Callithrix jacchus: one gene and its partner. The protein of the gene in region 2 interacts with the protein of the main gene of each other region in a biochemical or structural test. Links are inferred from orthologs where the notes say so. Each region holds a gene or a part of one and is shown on either strand. Other genes may lie near its edges.

Evidence for each region. The genes of interacting proteins can lie anywhere in the genome.
Region 1: the proteins of JADE1 (region 2) and KAT7 form a complex in vitro, tested with the Homo sapiens proteins (2 studies listed by BioGRID). The link is inferred for Callithrix jacchus from reciprocal best matches to the Homo sapiens genes JADE1 and KAT7.

Annotation. Positions count from the first base shown.
Region 1 is NC_133506.1:116,500,711-116,504,230, forward strand, and holds part of KAT7 (histone acetyltransferase KAT7), read right to left. Parts: intron 2,374-3,520; coding exon 2,284-2,373; intron 2,097-2,283; coding exon 1,956-2,096; intron 571-1,955; coding exon 477-570; intron 1-476. UniProt on the Homo sapiens protein: Catalytic subunit of histone acetyltransferase HBO1 complexes, which specifically mediate acetylation of histone H3 at 'Lys-14' (H3K14ac), thereby regulating various processes, such as gene transcription, protein ubiquitination, immune regulation, stem cell pluripotent and self-renewal maintenance and embryonic development.
Region 2 is NC_133504.1:68,405,206-68,408,835, forward strand, and holds the end of JADE1 (protein Jade-1), read right to left. Parts: intron 3,350-3,630; exon of another isoform or gene 3,173-3,349; intron 2,150-3,172; coding exon 1,239-2,149; 3' UTR 518-1,238; downstream 1-517.

The sequences.
Region 1 (3,520 bases), on a different chromosome or scaffold from region 2:
TACAAAAATGTTAGGACTGATTTGGGGGTTAAAAATAAAATTTAGTGAGTAAGCAAATTCACAGACAGAATCCACAATTAATGAGGGCAGAGTACATTACACTAAGGGTCCATCGGGTATATATATTACCTCTAGACAAGTCCCTACAAAAGTGAAATCCCTAGCATCAAGAAACAGATTTTTAAGCCTCATGCATGCATGTGCTCTTTAAAAGTCGCAAACTGGGATAATCCTAAAGAGCTTACATTATCATCCTCTGTACCTCCTACTAATTAAGTATTCCTTCAATGTTCAAGGTGTATCAGGCAGAATGACAATGTTCAGGTTTTTCCTACTTGTTCATTCATTTACTAAATATCCATGTACCTCCACTACATTCCAGGAATTGCAGAGACCACAGGACAAAAAGACAAACAACAACATTCACATGGTCCCTGCCATAAGTGTAGAACTTATGACTTAGCAGTTTCACTTACTGAAATCAATGAGCATCTTGCCATAGCCCTGTCTCATGTACTGAGGCATGGTAAGGATACAGGATACGTTGTAGTTGAGGAATGAATTCTTTTCCTAAAATCAAGAGCAAACAGATGAGCATGTCATGAGGATTTGAAACCAAAGATTTCAGCACTTCCACAGATATAAAATAAGGTTGCTTGCAAAACACCTGGCTAACCAGTCCCAAGGAGTGGCTGCCAGGTGCATAGCTGTTATATCCACACCTTTTATGATGGCTAAAGCCATTAATCATCCAGATTTCCCTAACTGAGACCTCTAGTCTCATTTTAAGGGGGCTGACTCTGAGTTCCTAACAGCCACAGAGCAGGGCAAGAAGGTTAAATGCAATTTTTGAAAAGGAGCTGCCTACTGGAAGAAAAGGGAAGGAAAAAAATACAGTAGGTCCCCATTCTGCAAAGGGTAAAAAGAGCAATCACACTGAATCAAATCAAAATGTATGATTCCACTTATAAGAAATGTCCAGAATAGGGAACTTTATAGAGAAGGGCTGAGAGGGACTGAGTGAAAACAGGAGTGATTGCTAAGAATTTCTTTTTAGGATAATGCAAACTGGGTTGACTGCACAACTCTGTGAATACACTATAAACCACTAAATTGTAGCCTTTCAGTACGTGAATTTATGGTGTATGAATTATATTCCAATCAAGTTGTTACACTAAAGGCCATAAACAATATCTGGCCTTGGTCGTGGCACGGTGGTACACACCTGTAACCCAGCACTTTGGGACATCGAGGAGGGTGGATCACTTGAGGTCAGGAGTTTGAGACCAGCCTGGCCAACATGGTAAAACACCATCTCCACTAAAAACACACAAAAAATCAGCCAGGCGTGGTGGCGGGCACCTGTTATCCCAGCTACTCAAGAGGCTGAGGCAGAAGGGTCACTTGAACCCAGAGGTGGAGGTTGCAGTGAGTCGAGATCACGCTGCTGCACTCCAGCCTGGGCAACAGAGTGAGACTGTCTCAAAAAAAAGAAAGAAAGAAAGGAAAAAAAATCTGGCCTTGGGTCTTTAAAAGGCACAGTGGTGTTATCACTGAAGGGACCGTGTTAAAAGGAGTCCAGCTAAACAATCAGGCTAAAGGAGTATATCCCTGGTTTTAAGCTAATAACACAGAGGCAGGCAAAGCCAGGAGAGTTGGCTTGACTACAAGATGTGGGCTTGCGGGATACTAAGGAGGGCTCTGCCCAGTCACTAATAGGCAGCTCCAGTCCACAATTCTAGAAATGAATAAACCAGAGCTTTTAATAAAAACTTCATTTTCATTAAACAATCTTTGATACATGTGTTTGCCTTTCGTAAAAAATTTATTTAAGGGATGGGGTGTCATCAACGCCCAGAGTACAGCTTCTTCTGTCAGTGATTTTAGCTGCCCGACTGCCAACATCGATCACCCTGCTCTGGCCACTGGCTTATTCATCTCCAGATCCTGCTTACCTTGGAAAAATATCCAATCAGGTGACAGCCAGTGTTGTCCGCCTCTGTCATAACATAGAACAGGAAGGGTTCCACATCATAATATAATGTCTTATGGTCCAGAAAAAGTTTGGCCAACAGGCACAGGTTTTGGCAGTAGATCTGGAAGCAGAGAGAGAAACAGAGTTCATGTGTGGGCCACTGATTCCTAGACAGATAAAGGCCTAAAATTCAAACATACCATAATTGTTAATGAAACATGTCCTCCGAGATGTGACAGAGACAAAATACATTTCTTCTGAAACCTCTGAATATACATTACGACTCCTTTCTAGTCACCACTTTTTACCTTGTTTTTCTTGCCATCCACTTCAAACACGGAGATGGAACCTTTGCGATATATCTCATCACCAGGTGGGTGTTTCCACACACACTTGGCCTGCAAGACAATGAAATTCACATCAGGGAACCAACACCTCCCAACAAGACTGCTTCTCAAAAAGGAAAGAGTAACAGGTCAACTCTGGTTAATGAGCTATAGGACAGTCGGACACGCTGAGAACATACAGCAAAACAGAGATTTTTTTTCCATAAAACAAAGGCTTCCAAAGTCATTTGAATATATTTATGACACTTTTATAGCAATCTGGAACTAAGTATTCTGGCTTACATTCTGGCACTGCTTTAGCCCAGGAGATTAAAATCACCTACTACATAAAGGCCAAATAAATAAGAATACCTTTGCTTATTACCAAATGCCTCAAGCCGGCAGGAAATTCTTAAGCAGCTTATTTCCAGAAGCTTGGGGTGGCTAAGTACTTTACTCTCACCTTTACCCATAACTTCTCATTACCACCTAATCATTATGGTCTTCTTTGTTCAGATTAGAAAACCCACTCACGATGGTAAAAACCACGCACTACTACCTGTCAGCCCTTCTCCCCTTCTCTCCTCAACAAGGAGGAGGTTCCTTGTTGCATAAGGAAATTAAGACAAAGTCCTGTGACTTAAAATAAAAAAAAATAATAATAAAAAAAAAAGGCAAGGCAGCCTGGCTGAGCAGCAGAAAGCTAGGGTCACTTGGCCACAAGGGGGCACAAAGTACCCCCTTTTCCTAAAGCCTCAAGTGCTAATTATTTTAATGCAGCCCACCAGCCAGCCAGCCATCTGCAGTTAAAAGTTTGCATTTTTAAATGTTGTATAAGGCCAGGCACTGTGGCTCACACCTGTAATCCTAACACTTGAAAGGCTGAGGCGGGCAGATCACCTGATGTCAGGAGTTTGAGACCAGACTGGCCAACCCATCTCTACTAAAAGTACAATTAGCCAAGCATGGTGGCAGACGCCTGTAATCCCAGCTACTTGGGAGGCTGAGGCAGGAGAATTGCTTGCACCTAGGAGGTGGAGGCTGCAATGAGCGGAGATAGCACCATTGCACTCCAGCCTAGGTGACAGAGCAAGACTGTCTCAAAAAAAAAAAAAAAAAGTTGTTTAAAAGCATAGATATATAAAACTCTTTTTTGAGATTAGGGTCTCCTCTGTCACCCAGGCCGAAGTGCAGTGGCACAATCATAGCTCACTGCAGC
Region 2 (3,630 bases):
TGGCTCTGGGAAGTAAGAGTCACCAGAGTCTGGAAGTTCTTCACTTGAACTTGAGTAGCTGTTATACTAGTGGAAGCCAGATGGCCAGGTATTGGCAATGGCCAGGGAAATCCCAAGCTGGCTCCATAGCCAGTGGCTAGGGAAGAGAAAGGTCAAGTAGACTGATAAAAATTGTACTTCAACTGCCCTTATTCATAGATACAACTTTCCTAACAGTCTCACTCTCTACCAGTCCCATATCCACAACCTACTCACAGGCTTCAAGCAGCAGGACCTTGCTACATTTGCCCTAAATCTCCACATTGCAGCAGCTCCACCCTGTCCCCTCAGCTCCTCCAATAATGACCTTTTTTTTTTTTTTTTTTTGAGACGGAGTTTCCCTCTTGTTACCCAGGCTGGAGTGCAATGGCGCGATCTCGGCTCACCGCAACCTCCGCCTCCTGGGTTCAGGCAATTCTCCTGCCTCAGCCTCCCGAGTAGCTGGGATTACAGGCACGCACCACCATGCCCAGCTAAGTTTTTGTATTTTTGGTAGAGACGGGGTTTCACCATGTTGACCAGGACGGTCTTGACCTCGTGATCCACCCGCCTCGGCCTCCCAAAGTGCTGGGATTACAGGCTTGAGCCACCGCGCCCGGCCAATAATGACCTTTTTTAAAACTCTCTTCCCTGACTGCTATATTTACACATAAATTCCCTAGTGTTACTGAAGCTTCAGAGCTGCTGCCTGTATACTATAATGTAACAAAAATAGCCTTGATGGCCAAATATAAATATGATTTCAAGATCTACCACAGTCCTAGAAAATAAGCTTTATGGGCTGTGAATGGTACCATGAAGGTTTCTCAAGAACCGTATCTGGTTCCCTGTATTCAGGTAACCACGAGTTTGTGCTTTGGGAAGAATGCAGAGGGCTGTAAAAATTCAGGAGGCTTATTTAAGCCTTGCCCTCTTTAAAATTTATTTCATTCTTATTTTAGTGTTTAGTTCGGGTTCTAGTCTTAGCAGTGTTGTATGGTTACAATCTACTCTTCTGTTTCCTCAACAAGTTGCAAATAACACAAACTTCTCACAAAAATGATTTTAAAATGACTCTGGAAAAAAAATTTAATCTGAATTGCAAGTAAATGTGTTTGTGTAGATCAGGATTAATGGGTTTCTGCTTCTCCCCCCATCAGAGCTCTCCTCTAGCACACCCAATGACAAGCCCAAAGGGCTTCCACATCATCTCTGTTGCATCAAGAAGCCAAGATGCTTCTCCTGATAATGTCTGTCCTCCTGCTGATAGTGCTGCTGGTGTGTATACATTTCTTTTCTGATGCCTCACTCTCTGAGTCACTCATTTCCACATCGGGGACATACCCGTCATTCTCATTGTCAGATTTTAATTTGCTTTTTGCCCTTTCCTTGGCTGGAACTCGGCCTAAGCCCAAATATGGGTAGTCTGAGTGCTGGTGGCAGGCCCCCTCATGGGCCTCTCCCTGCTGCTGCCGTTCCCCCTTCTTTGGAATCCGGAATCCTCCCCAGTTTTTCACTGGGCTGGCAGGTGTTGTAGGCACTTTGACTGTGGTCTGATTATAGTTTACTTTGATTAGGGAGCCATTGCACTTGGGCACGATCTCCTTCCTTGTGCCAGGTGCTGACTGCCCCACTCCAGGGGAGGTGGCAGCTCTTGTGTTGTCCAGGTGCCTCTGGGACACATCTGTGGACCTGAGAGGCTTGTGACTCTGTTTAAAAGATTTGTCCTTTAAGTCTCCTTTAATGAGATCACAATGAAAACGATTGTCTCTTCTTTTCCCGTGGTCTGGCATCACCACACCATTTTTCTGTTGTGCTGATATGAGACGTGCTTCTGCAAAGGTCTTTTCAATACCCAGAAAGTTTTCTGGGACCACCATCCCCTCCCTTCTACCACACAGGTCTGGCTGCTTCAGCAGGGTTTTGCCTTCACTTCCAGTGCTATTCTGCAAAGGATCTCGCTTATGGGGCTTTTTCAGTGAATGAACCAAGGAAGTACCCATTTGTTTTCTGAAGAATGCAGAATGCCACTTCAGGTCCTCTATCTTGGGAGCATCAGGGCCCACAGAAGGACTGTTAAACAAAAGCATGTTTTCCAGTGAGGAGGAGGAGCAGGAAGAAGAAGGCACACCTAGGAACATAGAACAAATAAACAAAAATTACAGCAGAAGCAAATTCAAAAGAATAAACTTCTAGACCCTTAGTGTGGCCCAATTTATGTGAACTCCCCACCCAACAATACAATGCCAAGTTTGTACAAATTTGGTTTTTATAGTAAAGATATGACCTGCCTTGAAAACCTGCATTTCGTCTGCAGATTCAGTATGCCCCATTTTCTAAAACAGCTGAAGCTCACATAATTTTTCATAAAACTGTTACTCTTCAAATAATACATGTTCCTCCAAAGTAACTGATCTGATTTTCAAAGGGGACTCCATGCAGAACCCATCAGGTGCCTGATGGCTGCCTCTGCCCCCTTCCTGGTTACAGAACAGCCACTGCGCCACACTTCTCCACTGTCCAGTCTTATGCCTCCCACACGAGACTGAGTGTACCCAAAAAGCAAGTACTGGGGCTTCTAAGTTTCTCTAAAGTGTCTATACCCTCAACAGGGTTATTGTGAGGATAAATACATGTAAACGTGAAATGAATAAAGGAAATGTTTAAAATAATTACTGATATATCATAAGTGTTCCAAAAAATACTCACTATTATTATGTGCAAAATACTTTTGTGGGATTCAACTGAACTGTCATTCAACTTGAAGTAAGTTAAACTGATGTTTTTTAATATTTTTATGCAAATCTCAGTAAGACTAAATTCCACAGCATTACCTAGTAAAAGTTCACATTTCATGAAATAATATTAATCCTCGTCACTTGATAATGCACCTTGACATTTTCTATTATACTTTATTTTTAATGCTTGCCATGACCCACTGAATTCATCTCACAACTCACTAATGAGTTGTTACCCCAATGGGTGAATTCACAGCACAGTAGAGTTCATCATAAAGACCATGATTCTGCAGCAGCCTCAAGATCATCTCGCAAGAGCAAGTCTCATGTTTTCTGTCTCCCATAAGATATGAACCACCAAGAAAACAAGGTTCAGCCCCGTATGAGACAGGAGGCCATGAGAACCTAGTGCTCACCAGACACAAACACTGCAAGCAAATGAAACATAGCTAGCGACTCAGAACACAGAGCTGTCATGACCACAGGAGGAGGTATTTTACAACCTGCTGGTTTGGAAATGCCTGCTTTCTCAAGAATCAATCATTCGAATCAACCTTCACATCACACTGAATATATTTCTTTTACTCCATCACCTGCCATGGGAAAAGAGAATGGTTAAGAGGCTAACATTTTCTGAACTCTGATTTCTATCTCCTTGACTGTAACCCATGTCTCTAAAGAGCCTCCAACTCATGACCCTCCCCCCATATGCACTGTTTCCACTGAGGACACTCTCACTCAGCCAAATAACCCTACCCACTCTCAGAATCACACAGTTTAAACCATGGACCCTAAATGACACATAAATCACGACCATCTGCTCTACTGCAGACAGGAGACAGCCTTTAGGCATAAATAAGAACACAACTGAAGC